Caenorhabditis elegans: one gene and its partner. The protein of the gene in region 1 interacts with the protein of each later gene in a pairwise test. Each region holds a gene or a part of one and is shown on either strand. Other genes may lie near its edges.

Region 1 (7,526 bases):
ATTGTTTAATTTAATACTAAAATATTTCAACAAAAAAATCAAAAATAAAGAAAATGTGAGTACTCCCGCGCTATCTTTCGTTTGGGTGCAAATCGATAATTTCGTGTTGGAGCGCGTTTGCAACCAGTGTGTCTGTGATGGAAAGAATATTTCGACAATATTTATTATTCGTGAAAAAAAAGAAAATTGACCCAATTTTTTGTTGGTAGTTAAAACATGACCATCTAATTAAAAACAATATTTCGATAAGGCTTGAATCGGGGGCGATTATAACATCATCATTGTAAGGGGAAATTCTGCGAGAGAAACTAAAAAAAACGAGTAACCATAAGCGACTTCGGCTTTTTCAAATCACATGAGAGCAGAAAGTAAAGACGAGAGAAGGGGAAAGAGAGAGAGAGAGAGATAACGAAATGGAAATTCGTGATGCGGAAGGAGATTGGCGGAAGAGATTATCTATTGTGGTGGGTTTGGTGGTGGTGCTCCTCCATCGGCTCCGGGGCCGAATTGGCGTCGAAGATTTTCAATAAGTTCTGGATTGGTCTCTTGCATGCGAGCAGCCATTTGCTGGCCAGCAGCCATCAAATCAGCGATTGATCCATTTCCAGACATCATGTTGTTGAACTGAAAAATTCAATATTTTAGAGCATACATCATCAAAAAACAAGCAATAATAATGAAAAACAATTAATTTTGACGGCCACGTGCATTGCCATTTCAATTAAATCTTTTATTCCCGAAAATTTGATACTTACCATATCAGAAAGTGCTGGATCGCTCATCATCTGTGAAGCAGCTTGCATAAGTCCTGGCTCGTTCATAAGGTTTTGCATGTTTGGCATTCCTGGCATAGCCGGCATTCCTCCCGGTCCTCCTCCCATGGCTCCCAAAAGCCCAGCCAATGGATTGGCACCTGGTGCCGGTCGCGAGCTTTCCAGCTCCTTCAATTTGTCTTCAGCAATTTTCAAATTATTCTTGTAACTCTCTTGATTTGGTTCAAGCTCCAAAGCCTTCTTGTATGCCTCAGCGGCATGCTCATATCTGTTTTGGCAAGAATATGCAAGACCCATTCTTCCCCAAGCTTTTGAGTAAGATGGATCAAGGGCAAGAGCTGTACGACAATCTTGGATGGCCAAATCATATTGTTCCAGGCGGCAATAAGCAGCAGCGCGGTTACAGAAGTAGACTGGATCTCTGTTGAGCTTGATGGCGGCATTGTACTTTTGAACAGCAGCTTCAAATTGGGAGGCTTTCATTAAATCGTTTCCTTCTTCTTTAAGCTTGTTAGCTTGAGAAATATCACTATCGCTCGGTGTTGGAAGAGCAGATTCTCCCTCTGGAAGTCCTTCGGCGCTCTTGAAAAGTTCGAGAATTGGGCGTGATGGTTGGAAAGCGTATGAGGCATCATCAAGACCAAACGAGTGTTCGAGACATTGAATTGCAACTGAAATTTTAATATATCTTAAGCTAAATTTATAGAAATAAATAGGAAAAAACCTTCAAGAGCTTCCGCTTGCTCGGCAGTGGCCTGATTTTGTGAAACCTTCTGGCGGATAAACTGAAGGAATGAGACAACCAAATTTTGCTCGTCTCTGGTCACAATTGGCGAAGCAGTCGGCGCATCTGGAGCAGAAGGCTTGATCTCCTCGGACATTTTCTTAAAAATAAAAATATATTTATTAAATAATTTTATATTGAAGTTAGAAAAGTAATATAAAGTTGAATTGAAAATCCATGATAAAGCGCAGATTAAAATATTCTTAAAAATATATAGTTCAAGAAATAGAAAATGGCATCGCTTAAAAATGGCATTCCGTGATTATTTTCACTCGGGAATCGCTCGCCCACTATGGGGGAGTCTACGCAAGGACAACGCAAGGACAAGGACAACATTCTAATGGAATGGAAACGATTGCCCGACTGCACCAATTCTAGTTCGAGCGAACAATGATAACTTTTGTATTCTATATTCCTTCACGTCTCCCAGCGAGCGTAATAAATTATTATTATTATTAAAAAAAAAGAGTATTAATTTTAAATGCTTAACTTAAAATCTGAATTTAAGCGCTCTATTTGCGAAATTTGGTCAATGAAGAGTGAAATATTGTAACGAGAATAAAATTGAAAAGTTTTTGAACAACGAAGAGTAAAATTAAAGATTGCAACGTCATTTTATTTCAGAATCAGTGCAAAAATTTCTGGAAATTGCGGGAATAATTTCATCAGCCTCAAAGGCACATGTCGGCCGTCACTTTGATGTGTCTCGCCACGAAAGTAAACCAAGTTCAACTGAAGAGACGGCAGACAACTTGACAGAAAAGTTGCAGCAGCGCGTAGAGTGTATTGTAAAGTTGAGAGAGTGCTAGAGAAAAAAAAAGAAGCGAGAAGCTGACTGGTGGCCCCAGGTCTCCTTCCAAAAGCCACTCATTTCCCTCTGTCGACACCCGTCAACTTAAATTTTTTGGGGCCAGAGACGTCTGGGTACCAAAAGTTTTATTTCAAGCTTGTTTTATTCGTTTTTGTTTCAAAAAAAAAGTGTGATAGTCAGGAGAACGCTGCTGTGAAATTTGTTGTTTCTGTAAAAAATGAAAAAAACAAATTGAAATCAAGCAAATTTTAATTTATTTGTTCGCAAAGTCCTTTTTCACTATGTTCCAAGCTTTCTTTTACCCAAATTTTCCGTTCGAAATGTGTTTTTTAAATGAAAACTTGTTCAAATTTGCGGAATTTTGAAAATACTTGTATTTGAATAATATTTACCCAGCCATTCTGCCTGTCATTCTTATTTTATACTGTTCAACTCCTCCCAAACTTTCACTATCTGTTTCCTAAATAAATAAAACTATATAAAATTTCGCACATTTTCAGTAATTAAACTGTCACTCTTATCATCTTCTTCGTCTTCCACCATTCTACAACATGTCTCAATCGGAAGAACAGAACAAAGACATTCCATCATCTTCAAATTTTGGAAACCCAGCAAATAATGGCGTTAATGTGCCAGATGCTCCTGCGCGACGACTCTTCGATAACACTTCTGACGAATCTGATGTTTCACTGGATAATGATGGTAAGAATTCGAATTTTTCATTCAGATTGAATAAAAATCAATAATTTATTTTTTTCAGACAAAACCGGGGCTGAAACTGACGGTTCCTCTTCAAGTCGTGGATGTCTGAAGAGCGAGAGATCTCGCAAAGATCATGCCAGCACGTCATCAACAAGAACTGTTCGTGCACCACAGCAGGTAATATATTTGTTTTTTTAATAAAAATTATCAAAAAAAAACGATATGAAGACATAAAAACCATGAAAAGTCGATAAAAATACCACAAAAGTTTTAAGTTACAGTAATTTTTAAAGGCGCACACCCGTAAATGCGGTTCTCGGTATCGACACGACAGTGTTTCGTAGATAACAAACAAGTGTGCGCCTTTAAAAAGTACAGTATTTTCAATCTCTCGCTCCTGCAGAATTTTTTATCAATTTTTTCTACTTTTTCTCACGATTCGTTAATATTTATGTGTTTATATTGTTATTTTTGGTATAAGAAACATTTTTTCGCAAAAAAACTATGAAATAAATTAACTTTAAAGCGCACACTTGTTCGTATTTCACAGAAATGTATTTTTGAGGAAAAATTGCAAACTAAAATTAAAAATTTCCGCTTTTCACCGCAATAATTCTAAAAATAGCCTCTAAATCTCATTTTTCCAGGTTTCTTGGTCATTTGGAGCTAAACCTGCGACTCCACACTCTCAACCGCCTGCCGGACTCAAAAAAGGTAAATTTCCGTTTCTTTTCTTGTTTTTGTGTGTCCCTCGTCATTGTGACGTAAATTGCTCTACGAAATTGGAAGAAAATCACTATTTCCGGCTCGTTCACCTTTTGGCAGAAGAAAAACGCTCTTTTTTTCTTCACATATGTTTTTAATGTTTAAACAAACACATATTTGCTTATTGACTCCAGATTTTTCAATCTCCAAACATCCGATCATTACAAATCGGCTTAGAGTTTTAGAAAATAACCAAAAAAGCAATTCTGCACCTGCTCAAGGCTATAATTCGTTTCTAAATTTGGATATCTGTGCAAATTATTAATAATTTCTTTTCTACTTTTCCCCACGAGATGAAAGTAACATTTTCGGATAATGGTGAGTCAAAGCTCAAAAACATCCTTTTAGTCTGATTGGGATTTAGTTGGATTTGAAAATTTAAACACGAGATTAGTTTTCTGAAAATGTGAAGACTTTTAACATTGATGTTATCTATTTTATTTCAATTTTAAATGACTTTTGTATTACATACAACGAGTCTTTGTCCTGTAAAAATGCTTTTTATTGGCGTTGAATGACATTTGACCATCTGACAAATAATCATAGATTCATAAAAAGATGAATAATAATTCTGAATTCTCGATTTTGTTTTTCTTTCGTTTGTGAACTGAAAGTTGAGTTATCTAGATCCTTTTCTATTGGGCAAAAAGTGCAAAGAGGAAAAAGCGAAGACCAAGAAGAAAATGAAAACAATTTAGAAAAGTGAACAGGTGGTCGAATGTTGCCAACTGTCCCTCTCTCCGTTTTCTTAACTTTCTTCATTTTTTCATATCTCCATCCATCGCCGAATTATTATTTACGTCATGATGACACCTCAAGGGTTCGGATTTCAAAATAAAAAGTTTCAAGAGTCATGTGGAAAAGTTGTGAATGTTTTGATGGACTCTGTGGACCATCTTCTCTGGGGTTTTCGCATCCCCAAACGACTTGGCACTTCATAATTTTGAAAAAGTGTAATTAGAATTTTGTTTATAGTCCCATACCGTAGTTTTTGCTTTAAAATGCCAAAAAAAAATTAGCTGGCGTGGTTTCTCATTTTGGAGAAAATTCAAGTGGAAACCCTAAATCATTTTTGTAATTCTACTTTTCAAGTGAGAAAAAGTTCATCTTTGTCATAAGGATTCTCCCTTGACTTGCAGCCGTTTGCAACTTCATCACAGATACTTTAAAATGTATGACCTTGCCCACTTTTATAGCTAGAACTCTACCAAAAATAATGCCTCCATCTCCTCATTCTTCCATCTCCTTCACCCACATTGTTTGAGTTTCCTCTTCTCATCAGTTCGGCTGTCCATTCGTCCACCCGTCCGTCCGTCCGTCTCCGGCTAATCTTCTTCTGCTATTTCGCATTCTTTTTGCCTCTTCTATGTTTTTTCTTCCAATCTTTCTCCCTCGTTGCACTGGGTTTGGAGGCGATTTTCCACCATTTATTTTTTTGTTTTGTGTTCCCCCTCAGCGTATATTGTAAGAGCGCCGTTCAATTTATTTGTGTTGTTTTTTTTTGAAAACAGAAATTAACTGACCCATTTCATCTTCATCTTCAATCTTTTCTCTGTAGTCGTTTACCCCGTTGAGGTTGTCTCATCTGTTTTTCGGTGTAAAGTCATGTCATCATCACTGTGACCTTTTCATTTCTCGTCTCGATTGGTAGAGAATCGGATCTTGTCGCTTTTTTTTCTTCGAATTTAACTTTTGCTAAAGATTTTTTACACTGCTGTCTGATCAACACCCAAAAAGCTAATTGTTGATATAATCTCTGATTCATCCAATTTTCTGTTTGAAAAGTAAGAAATTTCTCATCAATAACCTAAAAGTGCAATTTTTAAGGTCGATATAATCTAAGATCACATAAATAGTATACATCATCTATCTTGTTCAGTTAAAAATTGAAAAAAACCAAATTTTGTAGGTGTTTGTGAGAAAGAGAGTGTTCTATTTGCTTACCTTGTCACACTTTACTCCGCTCTATCACTATTCTAGCTCCAAAGCGAACGACAAAAAGTATTGATGATGGCACATGCACACGCATGAATTGAAAACATACAAAAACACACAGAATGTGATGATTCATTGTAAATATTAAAAAAAAATCAAAATGAAAGGCACTTTTCTTGAAAGGAAAATTCTACTCCAAAGTTTGCCATTTTGATCTTTCCAAGCTTTAGAATCTGTGTAATACAACACAGAAATTGTCACCACCATGAAATTCCCACGTGCTCAAGACAGAAAAATCTCAGCTGACACAGTCTGTGAAAGAAAGACACACTTTTTCAAGAGCAAAAGCACTTGATTAAAGTAGGACAGGAAGCGACCACCATTCCTTGCTTCCTTCCGTTCATCGTTTTTGTCTAGACCCTCCTCCTTCGTCTTCGTCTCCCATCGTATCCAGTCCGTCTTGATGATCTCTCTCGGCGTCTCTCCAGTTTTATCACATCACCACATTATCTTTCTTCAATACGTCGCTCCATTGTCATCATTATATCGTCGCATTTTTCTCTGAACCCTCTGCAAACTCTGCACTCTCCCCTGATGCTTCTCTGTATCAGCTGCGCCCCTTTTTGCGCACCCCTAGCTTGGAGGAAAAGAGGCTAGACGCTCACTTTACTTCTTCCATCTTCTTCCAACACCATATAATCATTATCCACAGCTACAAATAACATCTCCTCTTCTATTGGCTCCATCTGTTTTCTCGTTTTATAATGAGCTCATTTTCTACTTTTCCTCATTCATCATTATCCTGTTCGGGTTAGTTCTGAGTACTGTGTTGGTAGATTCAGAATAAACTAAACTTTAAAAATCCGTGTTTTTTTTTTTCAAAATTCAAATTTTTCAGTTCCTGCCTACTCCGCCACGTCATCATCATCACAAGCGGGTCCATCAGCTTCCACTTCGACAGCTCGTAAATCGTCGCTTGTGGGAGGACGAGGATCCGCGTCGTCATCTGGACACACGAGTCCGTCACCTTCTGGTAAGTTTTTTTAGACCAATAGTTTTTTTTTGTAAATAGTTTTTCTCTGCTAAAAAAAACTCAAGCAATTGAGAATGTTCTAAAACCAATTTTTGATTCGAAAAGTTTAAATTTTTGGCTAAAAAATACTGTACCTGGTCTCGACACGAGAGATTTTCTCAAATGGAAAAGTGTACGCGCCTTTAAGTAGTACTGTAGTTCTCAACTTCTCGTTGTTTGCGGAATTTTCTCTTCTTCAGATTGTCACTAAATTTCGGTGAAATCGGAGCGAAACTTTGAAAATTTGCAAAAACAACAAGTTGAAGGCTACAGTACTTCCTAAAAGTCATGTTGAGACCCGGCTTTATAATTTTTTTGTTGCAAAAATTACGAAATTTTGCAATTTTCAGAATCCCCAGCACGTAACGCAGGCTGCTCCTCTTCGGGTGAATCAAATCCTGATAGATCTCTGACAACACCTCCACTTGCTCCAGCACTGAAACATTCTGCCAAGGTATAGTCATTTAAAATATAATTATTTTTCAATACGCAATTATTATAAACGTTTTACAATTCCAAGCAATTAAATTTTCAGGACGGTCATTATCGTGGACAAAGATCAATGTCACTTGGAGGTCCTGCTCATGAAATGCTCATGTCACAATTGGGTGGCCGTCAAGGAAACACAGTCGACTGTTCACCGGGAGAAGGCGACAAAGTATGCCTTTTAGTCGATCAAACCCG
Region 2 (6,641 bases), on another chromosome or scaffold:
CGTGAGACTGTCCCATTACAATTTGATCTACAAAAAATGCAGGTAAATTTCCCCAAAACAAATGTACAATACAAAATACAAAATCAAAATTTGCTTCTGATGCTTCGAATTTATTCCAGTTTAATAATTATTTTATTAAAAAAATTATCTCGTCCTCACTCATCATAATAGTCCCATTCCAAGAGATTTTTTTGTTTTTCGTCTTTCAGGTAGTTGTCCGAAATTGCTTTGAGCTGTACTAACCCAGCTGTATCTACTTTTCGGTAAACGTAACCAAAGTTCGTCTGACTAAAAAACGAACTTTGTGTGTTTTTATGAGAATGTTTATTGCGTATATGCCAATACACGTCGCGGATCTGAAATTATTCAAATTTTGCAGAAAATTTCGGCAAGTTGAATTTCGTTCTAGCTAAACTTTTTCTGTGTCCTCTTTGTTGTATATTCCTGTTTTAATAGCAGTTCGGCATAAATAATCGATATAGCTTTTCCTGGCCTTGAAGTTATACAATATTTTTTTCATTATGCCGCGCACTTCTTTTCTTTCTGTTCCTTTACCGTAGTACTCGGGTCCCCGAAGTTCAGGAGCTATCTGGAAATTGTTGAAGGAATTGTTTAAAAATGAGTTTTGTTACCCAATTTTTACTCATCCACTTGTCGAAAGCCGCAATAGCTGGCTGCGTCCAGTTAAATTGTTCTAGATTATTCTTCAGATTGGTTTTCGAATCAGCATCATATGAATAATCCTTTAATCAGCATCATATGAAAAGAGGGCAGATAGCTCAGTCGGTAGTGGTGGCCGCTAGCAGTCTGGAGGTCACGAGTTCAAGTCCGGCCTCACCCCCTAGGTTCACCCAGCCTCTATTGGGAAGTGGAGCAATCCACGACTGGATTATCGGCCACAGTCCCCGGCTAGGACGTGGCTTAAATTACCGCCCAGAGGGATCACCACCAGGCAGTGTACCTGAATCCCAGATCCGCAGTGCATAGCACTTGAAGAACGGATCGTCCTTTAATCCTTTAATCCTTTAATCAGCATCATATGAAAAGGTGAGCAAATTGTAAACCTCGTTGCCCAGCTTCGGAGGTAGATGAGAGGCCAAAGTTAGAGTAATACTAAAATATGAAGTACAAATCAAAAACAACAAATAATGTGTTCCGATCATGATGAGTATATTCAGTTGCAGTTGCATGGACACTTTTTATACAAAATTCGCACTCCCTCGTTACTATTAATCTGACAATTCGGTGGATTAGTTTTGGTAAATTTTAAAATTTATTTACATGTAGTTTTGTGTAGGTTTAGATCACAAGATCAAACAAATAAAAAATTATAATGAAACTAGCGACAAAAGTTGTAACCTATTCTTTCAATAAAATCGAAGTTTTTTCTCCAAAAACTGTACGTAGATGGTTTTTGAATTTACGCTTTTTTGTCTGCAAATTTATTCGTTTTTCAGCCAGAACACTTATTTAAAAAAAATTAAGAAAAACTGAAGCAACGCTGGCTCAAATGAAGCTGATTTTTTGAATTTTTTACACTTAGATTAACAGTATTTGCTGTAGACTTACAAAACCTTGTGTAGATTTATAGAGTCTTGTGTAAATTTACGGGACATCTGAAGTCGTATAAAAATTTATTAATCGCAAATAAATTAAAATTTTAGGTGCTTAGCTTCTAAGCCTCTAAACCTTCATTCCCATAGCTTTCTTCCACATTTTTCTGATGAAAAGCAGAACTGGAACCTCTTGCCAGTATTGCTCCTCAAGTGAGTCGATGGCTTCTTCCTCCTGATCGCGAGTGAGATTTTTGTTGCTCAAAATCGCTTCAAGTTGAGCTTGAACTGAAGATAGTTGGGAGATGATTTGTGTTGTGTTTTTGCTCATGAAATTCTCATTATCCTGTTGTTTCTTGGTATATGCAGTGTACTGATCCTAAAATTAAAAGTTTGAAATTTCTTCAGCAATCTAAACATACCGAAAGATTATTGGTCTGAGCCCACTGTTGAAGCTGCTCATCCTTTTGAAGTTTTGTCAGCTGGGAATTGCGTACAATTGTAGCATAGGACTTTTGCATGTTATCTGGCAAATCCTTCACGAAATTTGGTTTGTTGTAACTAGCAGCAGCAGTCACAGCAATCAGAACAGCGAGGATAAAATAGGAGGCCATGTCTTCAAATAAGCTTTGATAATTTTTGATTCAAAAACATTGTCCTTAAATACCATGTATTCCGTGACGTATGAAAATCGTGTTACACACGACATATTTGCTAGCTTAAAAGGCTACTGAAGAATCAAGAGAATGCACTCAAAACATTGAACTCTGGCTAGACTTTGCGGTAAACAACGTGTTTTGGGAGCTGCAACAAATAGAGAAATTGGCTAAAAGTTCAGAAAACTCAGCGAAACACTGAGCAGAAACCATAGTAATCAGGAACATAGAATTATGAGCGGCCGACACATTATAGGTTGGATTTTGATAAGGCTCGCAGCCGACATCTTGCAGATTTACTCAAAGATTGACATATAATTGTTTAATGTTACTTTATAAAATTCAAGAAGGTCTTACAAAATTCAGTTTCTAGTTTTGAAAATTTTCAGAAAAAAAATTAATTGATATTTTTTCACAGTTTTTTAACAAATTGTTAATGGAAAAATGGAAAAACTAAAGGAAAAAATCTACATAACTTCACAAATATTTGAGAAAATATTAAAAACATTTAGATGACTTTAGAATGATGTTTATTTTGGTGAAAAAGTTTTCAAAAAAGTTCAAACAATTTTCTGAATGTCGAAAATTTTTGGAATTTTCCCAAGATTTTCAAAAATGAATTGTAAAATTATAATACTTGAAGACTGAGTTTTTACCTTTTTTTTTGACTATAATTTAATTTTTTTTAATTTCTGAAAATTTTTACAATAATTTTTGGATATTTTAACAATTATAGGAACCTAGGAAGCGGTCCGATATTTCACTTTTTTTTGACACATTACATCTTTCATGAAATATCCTGAGGCTGTTTTTAAAATTTTTTCAACAAAAACAATACCGCTTTTAATTCCATTTATGTGTCCTCTAAAGTTAAAACCATTCATTAGAAAAAAAAAACTTCAAAAACTTAAAATGATTCATAACTGTCATCATGGTCATCATCGATTCCCATTCTTTTCATGGAAACTTCCCGAATGTGGAACAAAACTGAAACTTCTTGAGGGTACTGGTATCTAAGAGACTGGATAGCCTGTCGCTTCTGAGCTCCCGTTTGATTATCGTTGTTCAGAATGGATTCAAGCTGGTTTTGAACTGTTGATAACTGGGAAATTATTTGAGAAGTCTGCTGGCTGACTTGTTGCTCTTGTTGGCTCCGTTGTTGTGTGTAGCTGGAGTATTCGTTCTGGAAAATTATTGTGATTTCAGATTTTTATTTTCAAATTTAAAAAATTCAAAATTTCAGAGAACTCACCGAAAGATTATTCATCTGAGCCCATTGCTGAAGCTGCTGGTTCTTCTGCATCTGACTTAGCTGATAGTTCTTAGCAATTGCAAAATAAGACTGTTGAATATTTCTCGGCTGATATCTCAAGAACATTGGTCCGTCGAAATCGGCAAAAACTACAGCGAACAGAGCAATAATTGAAAGGTAAGACTTCATTTTGGAGTGATTTGGTAAAGTGTCTCCTCAATTTATATACTAGGTGCCCATAGTATTGGCATAGTATCTGTTTGTGCCACTGGTGAACTTTTGTGTTTGCTCTTGTAGTCTTTTGAAAAGAGTTGTTAGGCAGTTAGGTAGTCTACGTTTATGAGTCACTGAAAAAAAATCATTTTTTGAAGAAAGATCAAAAGTAGGGGAACTTTTTAAAAAACATCTAGAAGTTTTCAGAAATTTATCCGAAATTGTTCAAAGTTATCTAGATGTCGAGATTCGAAAAAAAAAGTTTAAAAAACAATTTTTTATATTTTATTCTTAGAAAATGTGAATTTTGCACCAATACTTTTCTCAGAACATGAAGATTTGAATTCCCGCCAAAGAAATGGACTGAAAATTTTAATTTCCCTTTAAAAAAAACTGCAATGAAAATGCGAATTTCCCGTCTTTTTTTTAATTCCCAGGAATTTTTACCCCTGAAACTTTGAACATTCGCCCAAATTTTTTCACAATAAAATAAGTTTTCTAGTTTTCGCGGAAAATTTTAAAAACTTGCACTATTTTTATATTTTATATAAGTTTGATATATTTTTAAGTAATTATGAGTAACCTGAACCCTTTTGGTCATAGATTTTTTGACACACTGAGAGATAAGCACAAAAAGAGACACAGACGTCCAACGCATGTGCTTACACATTCAGCTTTATACCTTCTAGTCACAGACGCTGTCCCCCTCCGACACATTTTCCAAAACTATAAAAGATGTTGGAGAGCAGCTCAAAAATATCACTTTCATACTTATTCTTTACCTTTTCTCTATGAACCGCTTCTCTGGAAAGTCTGTCATCGTGACAGGATCTTCAAGTGGAATTGGTCGAGCCACTGCGGTGCTCTTTGCGAAATATGGAGCCCAGGTAACAATCACTGGTAGAGATGCTGGAAAACTCGAGGCTACCAAGAAAAAGATGCTGAAGGTCATGAAGAATCCGGAGAATGTGTGTGTTGTCGTGGCGAACTTGACGGATTCTGATGGGCAAGACGAGATTGTGCAATCGGCGCTCGATGCTTTTGGGAGGATTGATGTACTGGTAAGTGAAGGTATGCTTATCTGTTTAAATCATTAGAGATCCAATGTTGCGCGTCAAATATTATGTAGTCATTTTTGCTCGATTTTGTACATGTGCTTAAAAAATGTACTGCGCATCTCTGACCGCAGTTTTTTTAAACACTTTTTCTCACCTTCCAGGTGAACAACGCCGGTGCCAATGTGGTCGACGGTACCTTTAACACTGATCAATCTACCGAGCTGTACCATAAAACATTTCAAATCAATTTTGAAGCCGTCATCGAGATGGTGAAAAAAACCAAAAATCACCTGATCGAATCGAAAGGTGAAATTGTGAATGTCTCCAGTGTAGCTGCAGGACCACAGGCGGTTTGTTGCTCCATAAATTTCTACCAAACTAAAACCGGATATTTTCAGCTTGCTCCATCCCCCTATTACGCAGCCTCCAAAGCCGCCCTAGACCAATACACACGTTGCGTGGCACTTGATCTCATCTTGCAAGGGGTTCGTGTTAATTCAGTGAGCCCGGGTGTCGTCACGTCCGGGTTTCTGGGGGCAATGGGAATGTCGGAGCAGGTCCAGAAACAGGTAAACGAAATTGTTCCATGATTGCTGTAAATTTGATAGAAATTTTAGATCGAAGAGAACTTCACTTCTAACAGAGCCTGCATTCCTGCAGGAGTTTGCGGAAAGCCTGAGGACATCGCCGAGCTTATTATTTTTTTGGCGGATCGCAAGAGATCTTCTTACATAATAGGACAGTCGATTGTGGCCGATGGAGGAACTTCTTTGGTTTCAGGGCTCACCGCTCAAAACATTCAGCGAAACAATTGATTTTTCAATTATATTGATGTCTATTTGCAATTTAATAAATGAATATTTTTTTGAATTTTCAACACCCGTGACGAATACATGATTTACAGGATTTGTTTCTTATATAAATACAACTTTATCACTTTACCTATTTCTGTCCAAACAAACAACACATGAACTCTACTCTAAAACAGCTTAAGTTTTTTCGTATATGCTGAAAGATTAAATTTTGAAAACCATCACACCACAACCTTAAACAAAGTACATTAACCCTACAGTACTACTACAGTACCTTGACATTATCCATTACCAACTCCCAACGCAATATCCCTTCAAAAGCTGAAAAATCAAATTTTCCTAAACTACAGTAACCCTGCAGTAACCCTACAGTACCCCTACAGTACTACTACAGTACTTTGGCATTATCCATCACCAACTCCCAACGCAATATCCCTTCAACTACAGTTCCAACCGTTCCAAATGTGACTGAAATTGCAGTTTTAGCTGTCAATGAAAATTTATTCCAAAAAATTAACTTTTCTTTAAAAAAACAGTTATTTTCTGTTATTATCAGTTATTTTCCAGAAATCTGGCACATTTCAAACCGGAACTACAACACTGTTATTTGAACCAACTGATACGTGATTCACTATCCACATTGTACATTTTTGAGGAATATTATGACGTTATAGTGTTTTTGCCTACAATTTCCTAGTAAGTGGGAAGTGAATTTTTGATCTAAATTTTGTACTCGACTGGGCGTTTTCACGGAATTTCAAATAATTTCATGTATTATTACATTTTCAATTTCATTTACATTTCAGATTGGAATATGAAAATCGACGACATTGTTTTTCTGAATTCATCGGCCGTTTTCGCAATTGCTATCATCTTTCTACTCATATGCCTCATTCTCAAAAAATCTCCGCAATCCTTAGGATCATACAAGTATCTCATGATTTATATTGATCTTTTCGAGCTGGCTTATGCTTTTTTGTATTTTTTGGAAAAACCGGTAAGTTAATCGCAAATAGCAGCCTTGAAAAATTTGGAAATGCCAGAAACTTCTGACAAAAGAATCGGCATTTTTCTTGATTGTCAATTGGAAAGAATCG

The links. The genes of interacting proteins can lie anywhere in the genome.
Region 2: the proteins of sgt-1 (region 1) and srlf-35 interact in a two-hybrid assay, tested with the Caenorhabditis elegans proteins (2 studies listed by BioGRID).

The regions. Positions count from the first base shown.
Region 1 is NC_003280.10:4,902,140-4,909,665, forward strand, and holds sgt-1 (SGTA homodimerization domain-containing protein), read right to left. Parts: upstream 1,658-7,526; 5' UTR 1,655-1,657; coding exon 1,498-1,654; intron 1,445-1,497; coding exon 756-1,444; intron 625-755; coding exon 457-624; 3' UTR 149-456; downstream 1-148. Other genes in the region: btbd-10 (BTB domain-containing protein), read left to right, coding at 2,920-3,070, 3,129-3,247, 3,718-3,784, 6,669-6,803, 7,193-7,296, 7,378-7,526.
Region 2 is NC_003283.11:501,048-507,688, reverse strand, and holds srlf-35 (SXP/RAL-2 family protein Ani s 5-like cation-binding domain-containing protein), read right to left. Parts: upstream 3,662-6,641; 5' UTR 3,651-3,661; coding exon 3,462-3,650; intron 3,393-3,461; coding exon 3,117-3,392; 3' UTR 3,057-3,116; downstream 1-3,056. Other genes in the region: srlf-19 (SXP/RAL-2 family protein Ani s 5-like cation-binding domain-containing protein), read right to left, coding at 1,684-1,932, 1,976-2,167; T01G6.10 (DeHydrogenases, Short chain), read left to right, coding at 4,466-4,735, 4,894-5,082, 5,131-5,301, 5,350-5,547; str-256 (Serpentine receptor class r-10), read left to right, coding at 6,359-6,541, 6,588-6,641.